Linked DNA regions of Ovis aries. The protein of the gene in region 4 interacts with the protein of the main gene of each other region in a pairwise test. Links are inferred from orthologs where the notes say so. Each region holds a gene or a part of one and is shown on either strand. Other genes may lie near its edges. The genes, in order: PLXNB1, PLXNB3, PLXNB2 and ARHGEF11.

Region 1 (4,900 bases), on a different chromosome or scaffold from region 4:
GGAAGATGACAGAAGAGTGGCTGCGGGGTTTTAAGGACTCCTGAGGTGGGCAATGGAGTGCCTGACTCAGGACTGGGCACTCAGTGCCGAGGAGCATCACCTCCCCTGGCAAAATCTTTTTCAGTGGAGGCCAGCCTTGCCCACCATGCTGGTCTTCTCCCCACAAGGCCCACTGGAAGCCCAGCTCCACCCATCCTGGCTCCGCATCTACCAGCCAACAAGCAAATCTGAGTTCCCACGTGCCAGGTGTAGGGCAAGGAGCAGAGACCCGGGGATGTCCCTGGTGTCGTGGGCTCGTTGGAGGGGAGACAGCTACTGACCAAACGCGGACGGTGCGGGGGCAGGGACAGGAGGGCTTGCTGGCCACGCCTCCATGGGGGGAGCGTGACACAGGCCCGTCTCTCCCACACAAGGCCGCGGCACCCGGAAGTCACACTTGCACACCACGCCTTTGCTCACTGCCTGTCTCTACTCCAGGCCTGGGCCAGGAGACAGGTCCTCATCTCTCAACAGCAACGGCCACATCCCTGGGGCCACGCAGACGTCTGGGCAAATGATTCCAGCGGGCACTCAGCAGGCCGCTGCATCCGTCAGCAGACTGATGGACGCTCTGATCCTGAAGCCTAGCCCAGAATCCCCCCAAAGCCCCCTCACTGGCTCCATCGTGCCCTCACCTGCCCCAGACCCTACATCTGGACCCTCTTCTCTGTCTGTACCTGCAGCCCAGCCAGGCCCAGGCCCACAGAGATGGCCTACACTGCACACAGCCACGTGAGGCCTCAGATAGGGGTCTGAGCGAGAACAAGTCCATCAGTTCTGGTCTCTGTCATGGCCAACTTTTTGCGACCCCATGGACTGTAGCCCGCCAGGCTCCTCTGTCCATGGGATTCTCCAGCAAGAATGCTGGAGCCATTCCCTTCTCCAAGGGATCTTCCCAATCCAGGGATCGAACCCAGGTCTCCTGCATTGCAGCCAGATTCTTTACTGTCTGAGTCACCAAGGAAGCCTGAACTAAGTGAGTGGTCCATCAGTTGGATTTTTCAACCTTGGAGGGTATGTGAACTCATTTTATAGTCATGGGGGAGTCAGGGAGAGGGAGTGACTCCGTCAGCGCACGGCTGGGGCCAACGTGGCACCCAGCACGTCCTGCACGCCATCTCCAGGCCCTGCTGGACCCCCCGCCACCCCCACCACCAGGCCCAGGAGCCCTGCCAAGGGCCCTGGATGGGGAGGGTGGTAGCAGGTAAGAGTCACGCCGATACCAGGAAGCGCACGGCAAGAACAAACACTGCCCGAGCCCACCACTCTGTGCCTGGGGGAGACACGGAGCCAGTCACCCGCTCACACCATTCTGACCACGCCCAGGTTCTGCTCACCTGGTCATAGTATTTGTTGATATACTTGTAGAGCTCATGCAGGGCCACTCGAGCCCCCAGGTCTCCAGAGTAGTTCTAGGAGGAGGAGAGACAAGAGGTTTTAGAGCTAAGGGGTGCTGCCGGCCCCTAGAGGAAGCCCAGGACCCCAGGGACGGGGAGTGGGGGAGAGGGCTCGGGAGGCAGAGGAAGGAGCAGAGCCTGGTGTTGGGGAAGTGGAGCCCCTCTCTCGATGAGGGGCTGCCAGGCTCAGCTGGGCACAGGATAGAGCCAAAAAGGGCCTCCTGGGTGGAGAGACCCCTGCTCTGCAGTTTCCCAGGCCCTGGGGTCTCCACTGGGGCCCTGCCTCTCTCCCCCTCCAGGCTCCAGCTGGGACCCTCTGTCACCCCAGGGGACCGCAGAGCCCAGCAGGATGGACACTGCTCACAGCCTGTGACCCAGCCCTGCTCTGCTCCGATCTCACTCGAGCCTGTCCCCTCAGGTCACACCCGGGCCCCTCCCTGGGGACCTCTCTGAGCCTCAGCCTCCTCTTCAGGACGATGGAGTCGAGGTCTCCTAACTTGTAGAGCTCTTCTACGAGTGCAGTGAGAGGGAATCAAAGCACCCCACCCACAGCAACACGCCCAGCTGCAGCTGCTATTTGTTCTGTGGTTGTGATCTTCATCACCTCGGTTTCAGATTTAACATTGTTCGTAAGTTCCCCGGGGTGTGTGTTTGGGGGCTCTTTTAGGAGTAGGCAGAGGCAGGTCTACACTGCCCAGGAAGCAGAGCAGTAGGATGTGGACAGGCTGGGCTAGACGGTCCTGGGGTTCAACCCCCGCCTCCTCGCTGCCTGGGAACCGTGGTCACAAACCCTGAAGGGCTGCAAACATCTTAACACCCAGCTGAGTCCGGTCAGGTGGTAGCTGCCGGCACAAGACCCTGCTGCTCTCTGATGAGATGCTGGGAGCCCTGGTATTTTACGGAGGCAGCGGGAACACTCTTCGGAGGCCCCAGGACTTCCTTGTAAAGGAGCAGTGTGAAGCAGGCAGGACCCTTGGGGCAGAAGGCCTGTGCCCAACCCAAGGAGCAGAAGGAGGGCCGTACCCGAGACAGCTCGGCCAGGATGGAGTTCATTTCTTGATCACTGGCAGGGATGGTCTGTCTGATGTCTGCATAGTACCTACCAGAGATTATGGGTCCAAAAGTCACTAGGGAAACAAACCCTTCCTCACCCCACCAGGCCCACCCCGGGGGCCTCTGCTGTAAACACCCACCCATCCATCCACTGGTTATCTTCCAGACCCAACTCCTTCCCCTCGTACCTTTCCACCATCCGTTTGTACCGGGGAATATCGCGGGCATACAGAAGTTTGTTGATGGGGGAGTCCTGGGGGCCAGCAGGCGAGCAGCAAAAGAAAGGAAGGATGAGGGCCCTGTTAGGGTGACCAGCTGTCCCACCGTCCCCAGCACTGCTTCAGTTTTAAAACTCAGTCCTCAGCCTTCCCTGGCGGCTCAGTGGTAAGGACTCTGGCCTGCCAGTGCAGGAGACGCGGGTTCCATCCCTGATCCGGGAAGATGCCACAGGCCTCGGGGCAACGAAGCCCCTGCGCCACCACTCCTGAGGCTGTGCTCGAGAGCCCAGGAGCCGCAACTACTGAGATCACGTGCTGCAACTCTGAAGCCAGGCGCCCTAGAGCCCGTGCTCCACACCCAGAGAAGCCACCGTGATGAGAGGCCCCCACCCCGCACCCTACTCACTGCAACTAGGGAAAAGCCTGCACGGCGAGGAAGACCCAGCACAAATAAATACAGTGAACACAAATCAAAAGAAAACTAAGTCCTGAATCACAGGAAACCTCCTCAGTCCCAGGTAAGCCGGACGGTTGGCCACCCCAGCTCCTTCCTTCCGTCACCCCTCCCCACTGTCCCACCTCCGCCGTCATCACCTTGAACGTCTCCCCCTCTCTCTCCAAGGTCATCTCTCAGCTCCACGTGCCTCCACCCAGACCCGGCAGGGAACTGGCGAGCCGCGTGGAGCCCTAACACTGCTTCTCCACGTGCTGTCCATTCTCCACGGACTCATCTTAAAACTCAGGAAACTAACCCGGAAATTCAATTACATTGCCCCAGACCATCTCACTCGCGCATGGCTGAGCTGGGATTTGAAGCAGGTCTCTCTCCGATCAGGGCCCACAGTCTAACAGGACCAGACACATCCTCTACCACCGCACTGGGCTCCAGTCCCAGTCCTGTCCCGGTGGCTGCAGACAGCACTTCCGTTCTCGGGACCTGCTGCCTCATCCTACAGCTGCAGGGAGGGTGGGGCGAGACTGCACTGCCCGCCGAGGGCCAGGGTCTGAGACCAGATGCCTGCTTCTCAGCCGCTCTCCGCAGGGGTGCCCTCAGGATCCTGGTTTGCCCCATTCCTGACTCACCCAGGAAGCACCTGCAGTACTGCCAGGAAGCGGGGGCTGTGTGAAGATCAGACATCAGAACCCGGACACCGGAGAGCACACACCCTGGAGGGGACCCCTGGGTCCCGGTGTGGCCCTGTGGGTCTCAGCTCATCATGGGCAGAGTGATGGGAGTTCACAGACCAAAAACTGGCTCCCAAGAGACAGCTCTGTGCATTGGAACCTTCCATCTCATTTCTTTTCACAGGGCTAGGCACAGACCTCTCAGAGGTCCCAGGCCAACTGTGGCCCAGGGGACCAGGCTAAGCGGAGCCCGATCACAGGCCTGAGGAGCCACGAGGGTCCTCCCCGCTGGGTACCTGTGCAGTCCCAGTGGGGACCCGATATCAGTCTCGGACTCTCTGGGTTCTGACCCCTGTGACAACTGACCTGCACCCTCTGTGCCACCAGGTCAGCTCCCCCTCTGTGCTTCCCACTCCCCTATCCGCACATCCCTGCTTGCCTGGCCCTCCCTGGACTCTCCCCCTTGTACTGCCCTGGCTGGTGGAAACCTCCTCTGCTGCCCTTGGAATCCAGCCCCCCAGGCAGCCTGGAGATGCTCAGCATTTACAGAATCCACGTCTCTGCCTAGAGACCACCTGGCAGCCCCTCCTCCAAGTCTGAGCTCACAATAGCCAGAGGCCCAGGGGTCAGAAGACACCCCTCCCTTTTCCTCATCCCCAACATCCAACCCACAGCTCCTGCCTGCCCTGTACCCTCTTGTTCCAGCTTGAACACGGCCACTGCTCGTCCCAGGGACAGCATAGCTTCTGCTCTGGACACCAGGCTCCAGTCCATCCGCTGGCGACCACCAGGGGTCTGACCCCCCACCCCTGTCCCCAGGCCCTCAGTGGCTCCCCATCACACTCAGGGTGAGCCCTTGCCAAGTGGCCCTGGCCTCCTGCCACACTCACCAGCACCTGCTGCCTTGTCTTGACGTTGCGAATCGGCACATGTGGCCCCGGTCCTTGTTACATCACAAGGCTGGAGCACGGCCACCTCCCAGGGAGCCCAGGGACAAAGCCCGGCCCGGGGCTAAGGTCAAAGGCCTCCCATATCCTCCTCCCTGACATCCTCCAGAAAGATGGGAAT
Region 2 (4,779 bases), on a different chromosome or scaffold from region 4:
AGGAGGTCCCTCGTCCATGATGCCCAACACCTACCTCTCTACCATCTGCTTGTAGCGAGGGATCTCCCGGGCGTAGAGCAGTTTGTTCACTGGGGAATCCTGCTCCGGGCGGGGTGGGCATGAGCGGGGAGGTGCCCTCTCCTGGCCCCATGCCCTGTGGGGAGCCAGCCCCACCCAGGGCTCAGCGCAGAGCCCCTGTGGCTACCCTCCCCCCCCGGCCTGCCCTCCTCGGCCCTCACCCGGCCCACTTTATGCTCTGAGACTGTGCAGGAGTCCATGAAGGTCTGGGCGATGACGGCGAGGACCGCATCCACGTTGTCTGACACCCGCACGTCAAAGATGAGCTGCGGGTTCTTCAAGGTGTTCACCCAGAACCGCAGCAACAGGCTGGAGACACAGGCCAGCCATGGAGTGAGGCCCGGCCAGTCCAGCTCAGCACCTCCACCTGGACCCTGGTGGCCCTGAGCTGCCTGGGGAGCTGGCCATATCGGGGTGGGGAGGGGGGCGGGCACGATTGGTCACCCAAGGTGATGGCCCCCAGGCCTGGGCTCCTGTCCTGGCTGCGCTGGCAGTGTCCTGGTGTATCTGGGACTCATCTGCCCGGGTCCAGGCCAGCAGGTGACACACCTGTTCGTCTTCCAGATGTGCAAGGTCTCCGGGTCCTCAATGCTGTGCTTCTCCGCCAGCTCATCCAGGAAGTCAAACAGGTACTTGACGGCGATGGGCACGGGCCGGTTCACGCTGAGGATGGCTTGGAAGGCGTCATCCACAAACTTCTGCAGTGTGCCCTAGAAGGCAGGGGATGGGGCACTTTTGGGGGGGTCGAGGTGGGAGGCCCTTCGAGCTGTGGCCAGCCCCATTGTCCCACAGCATCTCCCCAGGTCTGTCCAGGTGCCCTTTGCTGAGCCTCCCCAGGAGAGGAGCCCCACCTTCATGGACAGCAGGCGGGTGAGGTAGATCTCCGGGATGGCCTTGGCCCGTGCCCGCTCCCGCTCCCGGTCCCTCAGGCTGCTCCGCCGTGCCTTGGCTGCCTCCGGCTCCTCGGGGGCTTTCACCAGGTGCCACAGACGGACCCCACCCTCCTCGCTATCCTCCAGCATGGGGGTGTCTGAGGGCGCAGAAGCTGGGCCTCAGTCCTTGGCCCCCCTGCACCCATGCCACCAGCCGGGGTGCTCCAGCTCGCACCCAGGAGCTCCCTGATGGTGACGCACCACCACCCTCATCCACCCGCCGGCCTGGGTCCAGTAGGGAGTCTTGGCTTCCCCACTGACGAGGTGTTGGGAGACCCAGATAGGGCCGATGGCATGGCCTCGAGCTCCTGAGAGCCTCACTCACTCTCCCCTGAAGGGCAGCTGGGGGCCAGGCTCTGGGAGATGATGCCTCCTCCGTTGTGTAGCTGGGGGATGAGCCTCACTGTGGCTCCGTCTGGGACCTGGCGGGGAGGGGGGCAAAGGCTGGGCTCCTTCCCTTGCCAAGCCCGAGGTGGGGGTCCTGCCTCCCCAGACCCCACCCACCGGGCACCTTGTAGTGCTGCAGGGTGTTGAGTCTCTTCCAGCGGTTCTGAGTCACTGATGTCACGTCCTCATCTGACAGGGTGAGGTGACCTGCCAGGCCCGAGCGCCACTCTAGGGGTGCAGGGTGGGGACCCGGGGGAGCCAGTGAGCCCACAGCCTGTTCCTGCTGGGCAGAGCCGAGCTGCCAGGGGCGGGGAGAGCCAGGGGCGGGCATTCACCGAGATCCAGGGCGTGCGCCGAGGGCCTCTGGGAGAACGGGGTGCCCTTGTAGATCTGATCCAACACCTTCTCCTTGACCTGAGTGATCGTGTCCGTGTCAAGCACCCGGGTGGGGATGTGCAGTGCCGTGTTGCTCCTTGATGGCCCGCCTGGCCCCGGGCTGGCCAGCACCATCAGCGTCAGGGCCCGGAATTCCACATCCTCCCGCAGCAGGCGGCTGTCGTTCAGGGTCCGTTTTGCCTTGCCTGTCACTGCGTCCACGGGGCCCTTGTCCACCTGGTACTGGATGGCCCGGAGGAGCATGTACATTGGTTCACCGGCCACCTCCTGCAAGCATCAATCTGGGGATCAGCTGGCTGCGTAAGCTCATAGGGGCAGCTGGCTGTGTGGAGCCAGGGCAGAGGGTGGTCCATGCCAGCGGGCTCAGCTTTGCACGGGGCCAGGGCAAAGGCTCACCACCTGTCCCTTACCGACACCCTGCCCTTGTGCCCGAGGTCCCCTGGGAGGGATCGGGCCACAGGTCAGGGAGGCCCGAGGCAGCAGCCCTGGCATGGGGTGAGGGGAGAGGGGCCCTCACCCTCAGGAAGGCGTACAGGCATATAGACACCCAGTTGGTGAGCAGCTTCTCCGCCATGGTCTCCGTCCTGCGTGGAGCGGGCCCCAGGTCAGAGGGGCTGCGCAGGGTCATCTTGTCCCCCACCCAAGGCCAGTGGTGGAGGTCAGGCAGGGCTGACTGGCCCTACCAGTGGCTCGGGACCCAGCTGGCCACCTGGGGCTCCCCGGGGCCACCCTGCCCAGAGCCGTCCAGGGCCAACCTGCGCAGCATGAGCTTGGGGTTCTTGCGCACGTAATGGGAGGCCAGGTCACTGAGCAGCGTCCTCATGATCTCGGTCAGGTACTCGAGCTTGCTGTGCAGTGCCAGGGACAGCAGCGAGGCCACATGGCAGCGGTCCCGCTGCGAGAAGCTGGGTTGCCCCTCCAGGGTGTGGATGAGCTAAGCGGGAGTTGGGGGGCACCAGCGCTCACTCTGGGGAGCCCGGCAGCCCACGTGGCCTCCCACCATGTAGCCTATGCCTGCCGACCACCCAGCCTCCCTCTTCACCCCAGGCCCGCCTCCAGCCTGCCCACGTGGCCCTCACGGTCAAGAGGAAGAGCTTGCTGTTGAGCAGGTTGGAGAGCTGCATGAGGCCCTGGTGCACGGGTGCCCGGCGACCCTCTTCACCCGGCCCCTCGACGGCCGGCTGCAGGGTGCCACTGTTGCGCCCAGGGAAGAGGACCCGCTCAGCATAGGTGCGATAGTCCACAAAGGGGATCCCGCTGGCCTCCAGGTCGCTGCTGAGGTCAGTCATCTCTGTCATCAGGTCTGCAGGCCGGGAGCCACCGGGGTCTGAGCTCGGGAGCAGCTCTGCCTGTGTCCCGCTACCCGCGCCTGCCCTCCCACCCCTGCCCCACCTGTGAACTCCTTGCGGCACTGGTCACCCACGCCAATCTCCAGGTTTTCCAGCTGCATCAGAACCTTCTGGTAGTCCCGCATGGCTTGCTTGCTCTTGTGCCTGCCACCGGGGGACCGAGTGTCAGCCACACAAGCTGGCCTGCCTGGGCCGAGACCCCCAAGCCCAGATGGCCGGCTGTGGGGCACCTTTGCCATAAGTGAAGAGGGGACTGGACTGGACACTGGCGTGTGTGTGATCCTCACCTGTACATGAGGGTCAGGAGGAGCACGGCAGTGATCAGCAGGGCTGCACCCACGCCTAGGCCCACCTGGGCCTCCACGGGGAAGGCAGACAGCACGGGTTCTGCCTCATACTGGACCGGGCCCAGTACCAGGCGCACGTTGCCCATTTGCACCTGGGGGTGGTGGGAGGCACAGGATTCCTGAGCACTGGCTCTGATGGCTCTGGCCGCCCACGACTGTGCCTGGGGTCCCAGCCTCACCACGAACTGCAGCAAGGTGCCATTGCTGGGCTGTGGGACCTGCGGGGGCGGCTCACAGTACAGGTGGGTGAGCGTCAGCGTCTTCACCAGGCACTCGCTGTCGCCAATGTGCACGCGCACTTCCTCCTTGCTGATGGCCAGGTTGAGGCCCTCGCCCTGGGAGGCCGATCACGGGCCTGAGTGGAGTCACTCAGCCTGTGTCTGCAGGTCCCCCCTGTCCCCCAGGACTGCTGGCTGAAACCCTGACCTCCACATCCAGAATGTGGCCTGGCTTGAGGCGGTAGGGGCGGGTGGACCCCCCCTCGTGATGGAGGGGGGCCAGCCGAGGGTTGGGCTGGTACAGGAAGTCCTGGCCCCCACTGGCGCTGGCAAAGTCCACATGCACGTTGTCCAGGCTGAAGAAGACCCGCCGGGGGCTCGCCGTGTCAGGCACCGCGGGGCTCCGGCAGAGGAGGAGGGTGGATGAGTTGATGGAGCACACGCTGGAGCACTGTGAGGGGGCAGGCCGAGGTGAGGTGAGCTGGGGGCTCCCAGCCTGCCCCGATCCCTTGCTGGGCACAGCCTCGCCTGCCGCTGCAGGCTCACCTGCAGCCAGCCCCGCTCCAGCTGGGTACAGGCCTGGGGGGCTGCAGCTGGAGCCTCGCAGCTGCTCCTTGGGGTCGGGTCCTGGGACTGCAGCTTCACAGCAGCCCTCTCCGAGATCTCCAGCCACACGGACAGCAGGGGCTGCTGTACCACGTCCAGGCCCGTGCCCCTGACTCGGATCAGCCGCCCACCCCTGCGCCAGGACAGGACTCAGCGTGGCCCGGGCAGCCTGGCCCCGTCCTGCCACCCCACTTTGCTGGCAGGGTGCAAGTGCACCAGGTCCTCACCCCCGGAAGCTGACACTGGGCTCGGCTGCAACAAGCTGGGGGTTGGCAGTGTAGTGGAAGGGGCTGGCGAGCAGCAAGCGCTGGGCCTGGCCAAAGACCACTCGGACCACTGCGTCTCCTGGGCTAGCCTGGGGCATGGTGTGGCACACAATGGCCTCAGGACACACCGGCTCTTGGCTGCAGGGAGGGGAGCGGTCTGGCACCTTGGGTTTGAGCCTTGGCCTGGCCAGCCCGTCAGA
Region 3 (6,280 bases), on a different chromosome or scaffold from region 4:
GAGGCCCTCACTGCGACCATCTGCCCTCGCCCAGGGAGGCTTGGAGACTGCTTCTCCCATCGCGGGGTGTGCGCAGGGCAGTGGCCACCTTCCCGGGGCGGGCACTGGCCTCCCACAGCAGTGTCCTGGGCCTGGCCCTTCTCCAAAGCAAGCCCAGCTCTGAAAAAGCCTGGGGAGGGGGTAGAGGCAGGACCCCACAGGGCCCTGCTCTGCAACGCAGCAGGCTGGCCCAGCGGCCCCAGACCCGGGCAGAAGGCCGGTGGCCGGAACTGTCCTGGCCTTTGGGGCAGAGGCCCCTGCCCAGACGCTGTGTTGACACAGGTGGCCGTCTGCAGAGCTGACATCAAACCTCTTCCCTCTTTCTTCCTCTTCCTGAGCAGGGGCTTCAGCTGGCCCGCATCAGGCAGAGATCTGAGCTCATCGCAGTGCCCCTCCTCCCGCACCCCCAGGGGAACTGCTGGCCACCTGCGCCGAGCGGCCTTGTCTCCACACCCAGAAGAGTCAAGTCCTGGGCAGGGCTGATGCCAGCACCAGGGTCAGCACCTGGGTGACACCCAAAGGCCTCACTCGGTCCCTGCGTGCCCAGGCCCAGACTCATCTAGCACCAGGATGCGCCCCATTTTAGAGGTCTCGTGATCTCAGGGGCTAAGGACGTGGGCCCCAGGCCGAGCCCTCTCCCAGGTGCCCCGCCCCACCCCAGGACCACACCTCCTCTGCCCAGCACAGCCAGCCCACAGGGTGGAGAGTTGCCAGTGATGGGGGAGCCGGTCTCCGAGAGAGGCTGCACGGAGCTGCAGAGGGGCTCCAGAGAGGCCCCGAGGGCAGGAACAGGGCCCCAGCGCCAGGGGAGGGGGCAGCCCTGGGCTCCTCCCAGGGACCAGAGGGGCAGAGCTGCGGGCGTGCGCACGGTCGCTCCGGGCTGCCCCTGAGGGTCTGGGTCCCGCCACTGTATGGGCGTGTGAATATCACGGAGGCCAGCAGAGTCCTGGCGCCCCGGGCTCGGCACTGCAGGCAGGCCAGCGGGCCCTGCCCTGCCCTTCAGACGAGCAGCTGTGCCCTGGTCTGGCGGGGGGGGGGGGGAGCCCAGGAGAGGGCAGGGCTCCTGCCTGGTCAGCTGGGGGACCGAGGCCCTCAAAGCCTCCGGGACAGAGGGAAGCAGAAACCCACAAGAGGATATGAAACCAGGGAAGGGAAAAACCATGAAGGGGCCACATGCGGCAGGGGCAGAAGAGGGAAACGGAGTGCCCCCCCAGCCCTCCACAGCGCGGTGCCCCCCACCAATTATGGGCCACCAGCAGCCCAGTCTGTCCTGTAATTTGAAACCAAAGACGTTTAAAGGCCCCAAACACAAATAGCCATTAGCCTCAGGGGGAGGGACTTGTCCAGCCCCCACAAGAACCAGAGACTGGTCCCCGTGAAACTGCGCCCACCTCAGTGAGCCGGGTCGAGGCTGGAAGACCAGCCGGGTTCAGCTTTCGACAGGTCTGATCGCTCCTCTCCGCCCAGGACTGCTTCCCACACCAGAGCAGGCTCTGGACACAAGAGGGTCTCAGCAAAGAGGAAAACCCTACCCCCCATCCAGGAAGCCAAGGCAGGGGGCTGTGCCTGTTGCTGCAGCAAAAAGGCCTGAGACCTGACGTGAATGACAACTTCCTCCTCACAGGACAGCCCCGGGACAGAGGGCCTGGCATCGCAGCACGGATCTGCCCAGACCAGACCAGGGGCCCCGTGGGGAGGTGCCGAAGCGACAGCCGGTCCCACGCCCAGCGTTCCCAGGCACCACCAGCTCGGCCCCTGCGATGTGAGCCCAAGGCAGGGAAGAGAGCACGATGCTCTGGGAACGGCCCAGGTCCCGGGATGGCTCACAGCCTGTAACCAAGCTGTCCCGGGGGCAGAGGGGCATATGCCATATGGAACCGCCCCAGGCTGCCGCCACTGCCCCCCGCCAGCCTTCCAATCCAATCTCTTCTGCTCCACTCGCCTGGGCTGCGGCCAGGCCCCTGGGCTGCGGCCCTCCAGCCCAGCTCCTCGCTTCGCCTCCCAGTGCGGACTCTCCAGGGGCCGCTGGGGGTGCGGCTGCAGGCAAGCCCGCAGGGACCCCACAGGTCACGTGACGGGTAGCAGCCCAGACAGCTCCTCGCGGGGCCCCTTCCCTGGGGAACCCCTCGCCGGTGGGACGGACTGACAGGTGGGGACGTGGAGGTGGGGGCCGGGCGGTCGGAGGGGCTTCAGCCAAGGGTGCCTCGTTAGTGGGCCAGTCAGGAGGCGGGAGAATGGTCTCAGATTCAGCCCTGGGGAACCCCAGCGCCCCACCCACTCCAGGCAGCCCAGGTCCCGCCCCTGCCTGCCCCGCCACCCTGGGACACACCGCACACCGCCAGGTGTGAGTAACAAGCCCAAGGTGTGTCCCTGGACCCAGCGCAGGAGGCAGCCTCACAGGGCCTGGGGCCATGGTGCTGAGCCCTCCAGAGGTGAAGGGGGGTCTCTGGGCGGGGTGGCTGCCCTGGGGCCCTGAGACCAGAGGTCCAGGATCCCTCCTGGCCCAAGGCCTCCCCCAGAGAACCCGGGCGCACCCCAGGCTGGCTCGACGGGCCTGCTGGGGCGTTCTCCAGGCCCTCCCACCCCGCCCCTGACCGGCTGAGCAGCCGAGGAAGGTGCTGGAGCTGCCCAGACTTGCCTGTCCCTCCCTCCTGGGGCTCTCAACCCATGGCCCCGGAAGTGGATCTCTCTCCCACGGCTGCAGCCTCCCCCTTGGGTGACTGGACACGGCTGGATAATCCAAAATAATTCCTTCTTGGCAGGCAGCCGGCGGGGGAGGGGGGACTTGAATTCCAAACCCTTGTTTTTCTCTGCAACTTCCCTCCTCTCTTGGGGCGAGGAGCCCCAGGCCAGACCTCAAGCCTCCCCCCACGCTCGGATGAAAGTGGGCCACCGATAGGTGTGCTGGGAAGAGGTGCCGAGCTCAGATCTGCTGAGAGCACCTGCTTGCTTTCAATCTTCTCCGAGAATTCCTAAAAGCTGACACGCCACAAAACATACTCCGCGGCTCGGCCAGGCCGATGCTGACCGTGCCCTCCTAGGGACCCTCTCCTCAGGGCAGAGGACCGACAGCCCCTGCCCCAGCTGCCCAACTCTGGGGCTCCCCGCTCTATGCCAGGGTGACGTCCAGGTATGGGGTCCGGCTGAGCCCCCGCCTCTGGGGGCCTTGTTCTCCCATCGAGCTTCACCCCCAGTCCTGACCCCCCGCCACAGCCCCAGGGCCCATTGAGACCTTCCTTTCTCCAAGCTGGCTGGGAAGAGGAGCCCAGTGACGTGGCAGGAAGCTCTGAAGCCCTTGAGCTCAAGGACCCTCCTCAAATCTTACAAGCAACCTGAGCACAGAATGGTGGGAAAGGCCCATCTAGGAGGGCTTCCCGCAGGCGGAGGCACACAGAGGGGCAGGGTCCGGGCAGTGAGTACAGAGACTTTCTGGGTCCCAGAGTGTGCACCCAAACCTCAGACAACAAGCACCGGAACCGCGGGAGCCAGCCGCGCAGTGAAGCGGCCGGGCCGCCAGGACTCGCCCGGTGCCAGGCCGTCCTCCTCCCAGCCCGGAACCTGCACCCGCCTTCCACCCAGGCAGGTGCAGACAGGGGCGCCCAGGGTGGCCCTGGCTCATGCCCTCCTCACCAGGCCTGGGGGTGTGGGAGCCGCTAAGGTCTGACCGCGGGCCCAGCCCCTCGGGAGAGCTCCGGCTCGGCCACCCCGGAACGAGGCTGGGTGGGCGCAGGCCCGGGACTCTTGCAGGGCTAGGGCCGACCTCCGCCTTGTGCACGGATCTCGGTGGCCAGAGGGCTGGGGGGCAAGAGTACGGAGGGTCGGGAACCACAGCGTCTCCGGAGGGGCGCGGGCGGCGGGAGAGGGCGCGGCGCCCCGCTTGCGACCCTCGGCCGGGCCACCACTGGCGCCGCGAGCCTCGCCCACCGCCTGGAAGAGCGCGAGGCGGGAGGGGCCCTGCGCCGGCTGCCCGGACGGACCGACAGCAGCCGAGGCCCGGGTCGCCCTCCGCGGGGCGGCTGCCTCCCGGGTCCCCGCGTCCCGAGCGCCGCAGGCCAGGGCCAAGCGGCGCTGACGATGAAGCCCGCCCCCGGCCCGACCGTCCGCGGGAGCGGGGCCCCGTCCCCGTACCTGCTCGTTTGCTGCGGAGGCTCGATGGCGCCCGGGCCGCGATCGGCGCAGCGCTGTGGCCCGCGCGGCTGCCATGGAGACGGGCCTTTGTGTGGCCGAGGAGGGGCCGGAGCGCGCGGGAGCAGCGGCCCCGCCCCCGGCGGGGGAGGGGGAGGGGAGGGAGGGGGAAGGGAGGGCTCGCTGGGAGAGGGAGGGAGAGGGGGAGGGGAGGGGGAGGGCCGCCGGGCGGGGCGCACCCCGCGCGCCCCCGCGCTTCCTACATGGCCCCCTGCGCCCCCGACGCCCAGCGACTTCAGTGGGTGGACTCCGCCTGGCGCCTGGGAGGTTTGGCCTGATTCAGGCTCAGCCTCGGAACCCAAATCTGGGCTCTGGAGGAGTGCCCGAAACCCCTGCCCCAACCCTCAGACTGGGGAACAGACTGGGAACAGGCCGGTCACAGCGGTCCTTTGCAGGGCTGGGGCCTGCAGGGCTTTGTCCCCACACCTCCTTGGGGGAAGAGGGGTCCTTGGCTTCCAGCCACCCTCCCCGCTAGCTCGAACCCAGGATCCATCGACTGGCCTTCAGTGCTCAGAGGTGGGAGGCCAGACACGGCCCCTCCCTGGGGAGTCCAGTTCCAGTCAAGAGCTTGCCCCACGTTTGGCCACTCCGGCCCCATCCCTCCTGATCCTGATGCCCCTGGCCGCTTCCCACCCAACTTGAGCAGAGGTGGGGAGCCCCCCGCCCCAGGAGGTCAGCTCTCCTGTGTCCTCCCGCTCCCTCATGGACCCTCTCTGATCACAAGCCCTGGTGCGGTGAGCAGCTGCTGGGGACCCAGGGGAGTGTGAGGCCATTTCCCAGCCTAACCCTGACTCCCACATGTGGGCCCCCTCCCTTTCTGGGGGAGCTGCCATCCAGCTTCCCCTTGCCTGCAGACAGCCGGCTTCCTGCACCCTGGGAGGGGCCTGCTCCGTGCTCAAAACCCCCCACTAGGATGAAGCTGTTGGAGAGGGCCCCCCATGACTTCTTTCTGTGACATGCTCCCAACCAGCAAGGCCACACCTTCACCCTTCCAGCCCTGAACCATCCACACCAAGGCCCATCCACGCCCCACCAAGAGAGCCCTCAAGTTACCAGAACCTCATAGGAATGCCAACTTTTCATCCAAAGAGGAAGTTGGAAGACAAGCATGTGTCACAGAAAGACACTTTAATACCAAAGATGTGGGAAGGCCCCCATCCCAGACTAAAAGCGAGGCTTTAAATAGCGTGCAGGAAGCTTGGGGGTGACGACTGTCCTTCCTGCCCCTGGATCAGCCCACTGTCCCACGCCCATCCCCGGCCACCACTCCAGACCCACACACAACCTCCCGAAGAAAGCGGCCTCCCACACTGGCTGACCGCGGAGCCCCCGGGGACCACTGCTTCCTGCCCATCCAGGCCCTGCTGTGCACAGAGCTCTGGTCGGTGGGGCGCCGGCCTCCTTTGACTCTCCTGACCTTTCCTCCCTCCTCACTGTCCCAGCCAGGGCTGACCTGATCCTTCGAGAGAACCAGGGAGCTTTGATAGGGGGTAGGATGGAGCTGGCAGGACTCCATGCCAGGCTGTGCTGTGCCCAGAGGCTGCCAGTGTTGGAGTCCACCCTGGGCAGTGATGCCCACCCTGCCAGGCGGCCCTCCCCCGCACCCCCCACCAGGGGAACAAGCTGCTGTGAGTGCCCGCAGCGCGGACTCAAGTGGTGCTAGAGGGAGGGCGCCGGCATCCAGGGGCTTCTGGCGGTGCCCGCCGCCGGCACTGCTGGAGGCAGAAGTCTGGGTGGTTGAGGACACCCTGGCACCCCCTTGCAGCCCAGCCCTGGAAGGATCATGAGCGAGGCTGCCCTCCAGCACAGGCCCGTGACCCTCCGAAAACAGAGGGAGGAGAACGGGCAACATGCTGCAGTGGCGGCGGGGCACCCTGCACCTGGCAGCCCTGTCCCAGATCGGGCAGGCTGCGGGGGGGTCCACGAGGTCCCCCTCTCTCGAAGGCCTCACTCTCCTCTGCCTGCAGCCACACGCCAGGCCACCGGAGGCGGCGCTCAGGGTGGACGAGCCGACACTGGTGGTCCCGAGGCCAGTGCTGCCGCCATCTGGGGGCAA
Region 4 (5,667 bases):
GGGGCCTGTGCAGCTCTCGGAGAGGGGCTGGCACAGGTCTGGCCCCCCACCTTGAGGCCCACGGCCTACTCTCTCTGATTCCAGACAGTTGAGGGAGTGTGTATATGGTGCGTGTCCACGTGACTGCAGGCAGGGGTCTAACCCTGGAAGCCCAGCTCTGCCCTCAAGGGCTCCCATTCCAGCCCTGCCTGCCTCTGGCTCCAAGGAGAGGTTCGTTACCCGCAGCCTTTGCTCCGCCTTCCGCTTCGGGTGGCTCAGGCCCTGACGGGCCACTCTCTGGTAGTGCAGGGACCACCTTGCTGCCTGCCACCTCCGCTGCACCAACACCACCACCAGGAAGAGCAGAGACCGAGAGAGAAGGAAAGGGAAGGGAGATGAGCCGGAAGGAGAGGGAGAAAGAAGAGGCGGGTATGGGGCAGGGCGGGGCGGGGCGGGGGGTGAAGAAAAAGAGAAAAGGAAGAACAAAGTAAACACACGATCACACATGATTATACCCCGCGGAGCCACAGAGAACCGCTCCACCAATTCACCAATTCACCAGAGGAGAGAAAAGGAAGGCCAGGTCCCAGAAACCCAGGAAAGAGCGTAGGCCTCGGGCAGGTGGAGAGAAAAATGCTCCTGGAAAAGGAGGCAGAGCTGGGCACTGGGGGAGGAAAGCAGACACCCTGGCACTGGTGTGGACGCCCCCCACCCCTCAAGAGCACCCTGCGCTTCACTTCCTCCCCTGCTGCACTCCTCAGACCAGGCTGCCCTCTCCTCAGCTGACTCTTCCCTCTGTCCTCTGAGCTCTGGCCAGACGAACCTGCCCCGACCCCCGTCCCAGCCAGTCCTGGCTTTTCCCGTCTTAAAACCAGGGCCGCCTAGCTCCCTGCTCATTTCACCAGAGCCCCCAGTCTCACACGGCTCCCCAGCCTTGTCCTGCAGCCCCTCCTCTTGGCTCTGCCTCCAGACCCACCCTGCCTCTGCCTCACACATCAGCGCTTCCTTGCTGCTCTCTAAAGCTACCAGCTGGAGCCCTCTGACTTGTGCCACAGTGATATCCTCATAATGAATGAAGTCCAGAGGGGCTTTAGAATTTCTCCCAGGGTCACAGGGGTATTAAGTAACGGAGCCAGGACTCTGCACCTTGGCTGTCTGACCCCAAAGCCTTTTCACGATGTCAGCGTGTCATCTTGCCCAGGATCAGGACAAACCTCTGCACACAGGGCTTCCAGACAGGGGCGCGGGAAGCAGCCAGCTGGAAGACTCAATGCTCCCCTAGCAAAGCTGGCCATGTGCCCCCCCAGGGGACACCCCAACTTACTTTACCTTTTCTTACAACTTTGTAACTTCCTGTGCCCTCTGTGCTTGAAGCTTCTTCCTCCGGATTCTTGTCTAGCTCGGAAGATTCCCAGATCCCAGAATTCCTGGTCCTTGGGGGCAGTTGTTCCAGAGAACGCAAAGCCATGTCCTCCTGCCCTGGCTGGCTCCACTCTGGCCCCGAGAGTGGGGCCTTGTCCCCTTCAGCCCCAGTAGGAGCTCGCCCTGGGGAGCCTGGGTCCCAGGGGTGCGAAGTGATGCTGTTGATGGAGGGTGTAGGGGTCAGGTCGTCCTCGGGCTCCCCAGCAGCTCGTGGGTCCGTGGGGTGACCAGGCAGCAGGCTCCACAGGATCAGGTGCCGCAGGTTCTCCACTGGAGGGGAAACGGGGGGACGGCTTCCTGGACACAGGACCGCACACCTGGCCATGGCGGGGGTGGGTGCAGAGGAGGCGGGGGGCTGCTGCTCCCTTCCCTGCCCACCCCCCCCACCCCCGAGTGACACTGCCTCTGCAGTCACAGGGTGGAGCTGGGGGACCTTGGCCAACCAGCTGGGGGGCGGGCTGAAGGCTGGGGCGGGGGGACAGGAACAACAACGGTCTCTCTGCATCCTTCTCTCCTCGAGCACAACTCAGGGCGAGCCTCTGAGCAGGCCGAGTGGGGTACGGGCCTGTTGACGCTGGCCAAGCTGCTGGGGCACTGTGGGCTGACAGCCAGGGCCAGGAGGCACTCACCGTCCTCCAGGGCTGCGTCGGCGAGTCCTTCCATGAACAGAGGGCCTGGGAGGGGCAGGAGGATGGGGTCCCTCGTCCTGCTTCCCCTGGGCTCGCTGTCCAGCGAGGCAGAAGAGTGAGGCAGCGCCCCCAGCTCCTCTTCCTCCACGCTGCCCTCCTGCTCAGCATCTGCCAGCAGGGCCGAGTGCTTCCCTTGGACCCTCTGCGGGCACCCCATGCCTGTTTCGGATGGGAGGACAGTGTAAAGCCAGGAAAGAGGGAGGGCATGTACAGGCTGATCCCAGGTCCAGCTTCGGGTTCAAGGGGCTAGGAACACTGCCTGATTCATTCCACAGTGTTTACTGAGCCTCAATCATGGCCAGGCACCGTCCCAGGCTCCTGGCACACATCAGCAGAAAAAAACAGAGGTCCCTGCCCTGTGGAACTTAAATTCTAATTGACGAACACAGAGAAAAAGAAAATAAGTAAATTAACTACATGAATTAGCTAAGAAGTGCGATAGGAAAGAAAAAACCACACGCGGGGGTATGGGAGATCAGGAACGCTGGTATTAAGCCGAGTGGTCAACAAAGGCACTAGGTGCAAAGCTGACGATCTATCTGCCCAAAGACTTGAAGTGGGGCGGGAGTTAAGAGAGGCATTCCAGCGGAAGGAAAGCGAACACAGACCCAGCCAGGGGGCCTGCTCATGGAGAGTCCTCTCTGAACTTGAGGCGGTAAGTCACTTCACACTAAAAACTCAACAAGAGTTCTGCTGGGGACCCTCGAGCCCCTGTCGACCCCATCCTACTGACTGTATCTTCAGCCCTCTGAGCGCCACTCCCCACCCCCACCCGCAGGATTCCCGTGCCAGCCCATCTCTAAGAGCATCCCGTTCTCCATCAGGAGCCGCCAGACTCTACCCGACTGCCCCCTCTTCCTCCTCAGGGGGAAGCTCTGTTCAGTTGAGCCTGTTCTTTCCTCTTCCAGCCCTCCTTCCTCCTTCTGCTTTTCTCTGTTCTTATGGCCCTTTATAGCTCTCTCCCACCACCCCAGCCACCTCCTTACCTGTGCCTACAGAGAGTGAGCTGGATCGGGCCCCCACAGAGACAGCTCAGGGACTTACCTCCTGGGGCTGCCTCAGGCTCCGCTTCACCACGGAACACCTCGGAGTCATCTGGTCCTGCCCTGCAGGGAGAAACCGCCAAGGTGAGAGGGGCCTGCCTGCCTGGAGCTCTGGCTCTCTGCCAGCTGGGAGGTGGCCACGTCATGAAATTCCACTCTGGCCGCCTGAGTTCACGGGGCAATGCAGGAGCAGGGCCCAGGAACGCAGTGGCTTAGATTTCAGACCTGCTGTCTGGTGAGCAACCTGGAGAGCAGGGTGGGTGCCTTCTGCCCCCCACCCCCACAATTCAGGCACAGTCTGAGCAGGGCAGTGCGGGGAAGGCCAGGCAGGGACAGAAGGTGGAGGTGCAGGCGTGCCTTACTCCGCCTGCCCGCTAACACCTGGCAGCTGAGGCTGTCCAGCCCAGGGAGGAAGTGCTCAGAAGCAGCACGAGTGGCCTGGAGTGGGGATGGTGAGCGGGCCTGGAGGGCTGCGTACCTGCTGGGTGTGGGGCTCCGGTCGGCTGGCTCCTGGGGGCCTGGGGGCGGGGGGTGGATGGGTGTCGGGGCAGCTCCGGGGAGCCTGGTGGCATTCCGAACAGCCTCTTCTAAGAGCTCCATCCACCTGTTGCTCGGCAGGAAAAGAGAGGTCTGGTGGCGACAAGAGGACAGAGGAGCAGCGTCTCCCCCACCAACCCCGAGTCAGAGCTGCGAGGCCCTTTGCCAGAACCTGCCCTGAGGACCCTCTGCCCAGTGGGGGGGCCGCCGCCCGTGCAGTTCTGACTGGCTGCCCCACTTGGGGCGGGTCTATGTTACTCGCAGCTACCAACTGCTGAACACCAACACTGTTAGGCTCTGCGCTCTGCATTCTGTTCTCGCTCAATGTAACTCCCAAGAGGCAGCGCCATCCGCAGTCACAGATGAACGCCCCGAGAAACTGTCTGGCCCAAGCTGTCTCTGGCCTCTGGGTCAGACAGGCTACTACTGAGGCTGGCTACTGTCGGGAACACGGGCGGGTGGATGCCGTGGGGTGGAGATGAGAGTTTTGGAGGCAAACACCTCTGAAGAATGCGGGCATTTAAAACACTTGATAGAGAAAGAGAAGAACCACCCAAGGGAAGGGAGAGGGCCAGAGGAAGGAGAGGCGCAGCGGGCTGGCTGGAAGACCGCTGGTGGCGCCTCCTTCCTCGGACAGGCCGCTCATGGGGTCAGGGATGGCGATCCCAAAAGCCTCTCTGCGTCTGTCTTATCTCCCTCTTCTGTGTCAAGGCCCCATCCTCTAACCACTCTGGGCCCAGTCCTGGTCTCACTGTCCAAGTCCTCACACACCGCCCTGGTCCCACGGGGATGGCAGTTACGCGGGACTGCCCCGCTTCCCAGCAATCCTCACGTGTTCTTGTCTGATGATGTCAAAGCCACCAGCTCGTAGATCTGAGGTGGGCCCAACTCAGAGGTACAGATGATGAAGAAGGCCCGTTTATCTGTGCGGAAGACAGAAGCAGAAGGGTCTGTACTGGGGGCGGCAGAGGCATGACTGCAGCCTGGGTCGGCTGACAAAGTGTGGACTTGAAACCCTGACCCTCAACCGGATGGAGAATGCAGCGCTAGCTGAACCTAGGTCATTGGGTTCCACTTACAGAAGGGCAGAGGCCATTCTGGTTCCTCTAATGCCACTTTCACAGTCGCTGCCTCCCGCTTTCCTCACGGTGAGGGCTGAGGGTTATAAAACCACATCACACCCATCCTCCCTTTCCACCTCCCCCAAGAGACAGGCATTGCATCACTCCCCACGCCACAGCTGAGGAAAGTGAGCCCAGAGCCCTTCTTGTACATGCTCCGCTTCCCACTAACATGCTCCGAGCACGGGGCTGGGCTCTGGCCTGTGGGTGTGAACTCTGCCTGTCCCTCCTGCAGCAGGAAGGCATGTCCTACTCGTCTCTGCCCAGTTCTGCTTCCTCATCCTCAGGCCACCCTCGGTGCTCACATCCCATCCTGCCTGCGCCAGGCTGTCCACCTTCATCCCCATCCTACCCCGTACTGAACCACATCTTCCTGCTTAGATGAGTCAGGGTAGAAGGAAAGCCACACAGGCAGGCCAGTAGGCTCATCACCCAGCGCTCACTGGACGTGAGTACCAGGGCTCATGGCCTGGGGCCTGGGCCAGCTGGGGCCGTCTCCTTGTGGGTACCTGTGGCCACCGAGCGGACGAGCACAGCGTTGAGCTTGAGCACGGGGCTGAAGGTCTGCTTGCTGTCTGAGGAGCCCACGGCCATCTTGCTGTGGCACTTGAGCAGCAGCTTCTCGTCCTGTTTCTGCAGCAGCACCAGGAGGTCCTCCAGCAGCAGCACGTGGAGGTCTGGAGGAGGGCGGTGCTGGTGAGGGGTTCCCCGCCACCTGCTCCGCCCTCACCAACACCTGGGACACCAGAGGCTCCTGGATGGTCGTCCTCAGGGTCTGCGAAGCCCTGGAGTCTGGTGACCTGCTTAGGTTTTGGTCCTCCCTCCCCATGCTGTGCTCCAGGTGCCCTGAGCTCTCAACCCCAGTGGTGTTTGGAG

Evidence for each region.
Region 1: the proteins of ARHGEF11 (region 4) and PLXNB1 interact in a two-hybrid assay, tested with the Homo sapiens proteins (2 studies listed by BioGRID). The link is inferred for Ovis aries from reciprocal best matches to the Homo sapiens genes ARHGEF11 and PLXNB1.
Region 2: the proteins of ARHGEF11 (region 4) and PLXNB3 interact in a two-hybrid assay, tested with the Homo sapiens proteins (2 studies listed by BioGRID and IntAct). The link is inferred for Ovis aries from reciprocal best matches to the Homo sapiens genes ARHGEF11 and PLXNB3.
Region 3: the proteins of ARHGEF11 (region 4) and PLXNB2 interact in a two-hybrid assay, tested with the Homo sapiens proteins (2 studies listed by BioGRID). The link is inferred for Ovis aries from reciprocal best matches to the Homo sapiens genes ARHGEF11 and PLXNB2.

Annotation. Positions count from the first base shown.
Region 1 is NC_056072.1:51,486,742-51,491,641, reverse strand, and holds part of PLXNB1 (plexin-B1), read right to left. Parts: intron 2,743-4,900; coding exon 2,678-2,742; intron 2,536-2,677; coding exon 2,460-2,535; intron 1,452-2,459; coding exon 1,377-1,451; intron 1-1,376. UniProt on the Homo sapiens protein: Receptor for SEMA4D. Plays a role in GABAergic synapse development. Mediates SEMA4A- and SEMA4D-dependent inhibitory synapse development. Plays a role in RHOA activation and subsequent changes of the actin cytoskeleton.
Region 2 is NC_056080.1:80,505,757-80,510,535, forward strand, and holds part of PLXNB3 (plexin-B3), read right to left. Parts: intron 4,718-4,779; coding exon 4,541-4,717; intron 4,447-4,540; coding exon 4,254-4,446; intron 4,159-4,253; coding exon 3,916-4,158; intron 3,825-3,915; coding exon 3,669-3,824; intron 3,582-3,668; coding exon 3,430-3,581; intron 3,287-3,429; coding exon 3,186-3,286; intron 3,097-3,185; coding exon 2,873-3,096; intron 2,728-2,872; coding exon 2,549-2,727; intron 2,378-2,548; coding exon 2,311-2,377; intron 2,061-2,310; coding exon 1,733-2,060; intron 1,626-1,732; coding exon 1,522-1,625; intron 1,433-1,521; coding exon 1,336-1,432; intron 1,109-1,335; coding exon 930-1,108; intron 789-929; coding exon 628-788; intron 388-627; coding exon 240-387; intron 100-239; coding exon 35-99; intron 1-34. UniProt on the Homo sapiens protein: Receptor for SEMA5A that plays a role in axon guidance, invasive growth and cell migration. Stimulates neurite outgrowth and mediates Ca(2+)/Mg(2+)-dependent cell aggregation.
Region 3 is NC_056056.1:225,584,727-225,591,006, forward strand, and holds the start of PLXNB2 (plexin-B2), read right to left. Parts: upstream 4,261-6,280; 5' UTR 4,168-4,260; intron 1-4,167.
Region 4 is NC_056054.1:106,871,950-106,877,616, forward strand, and holds part of ARHGEF11 (rho guanine nucleotide exchange factor 11), read right to left. Parts: intron 5,469-5,667; coding exon 5,301-5,468; intron 4,594-5,300; coding exon 4,503-4,593; intron 3,738-4,502; coding exon 3,612-3,737; intron 3,197-3,611; coding exon 3,135-3,196; intron 2,250-3,134; coding exon 2,031-2,249; intron 1,672-2,030; coding exon 1,309-1,671; intron 316-1,308; coding exon 220-315; intron 1-219. UniProt on the Homo sapiens protein: May play a role in the regulation of RhoA GTPase by guanine nucleotide-binding alpha-12 (GNA12) and alpha-13 (GNA13). Acts as guanine nucleotide exchange factor (GEF) for RhoA GTPase and may act as GTPase-activating protein (GAP) for GNA12 and GNA13.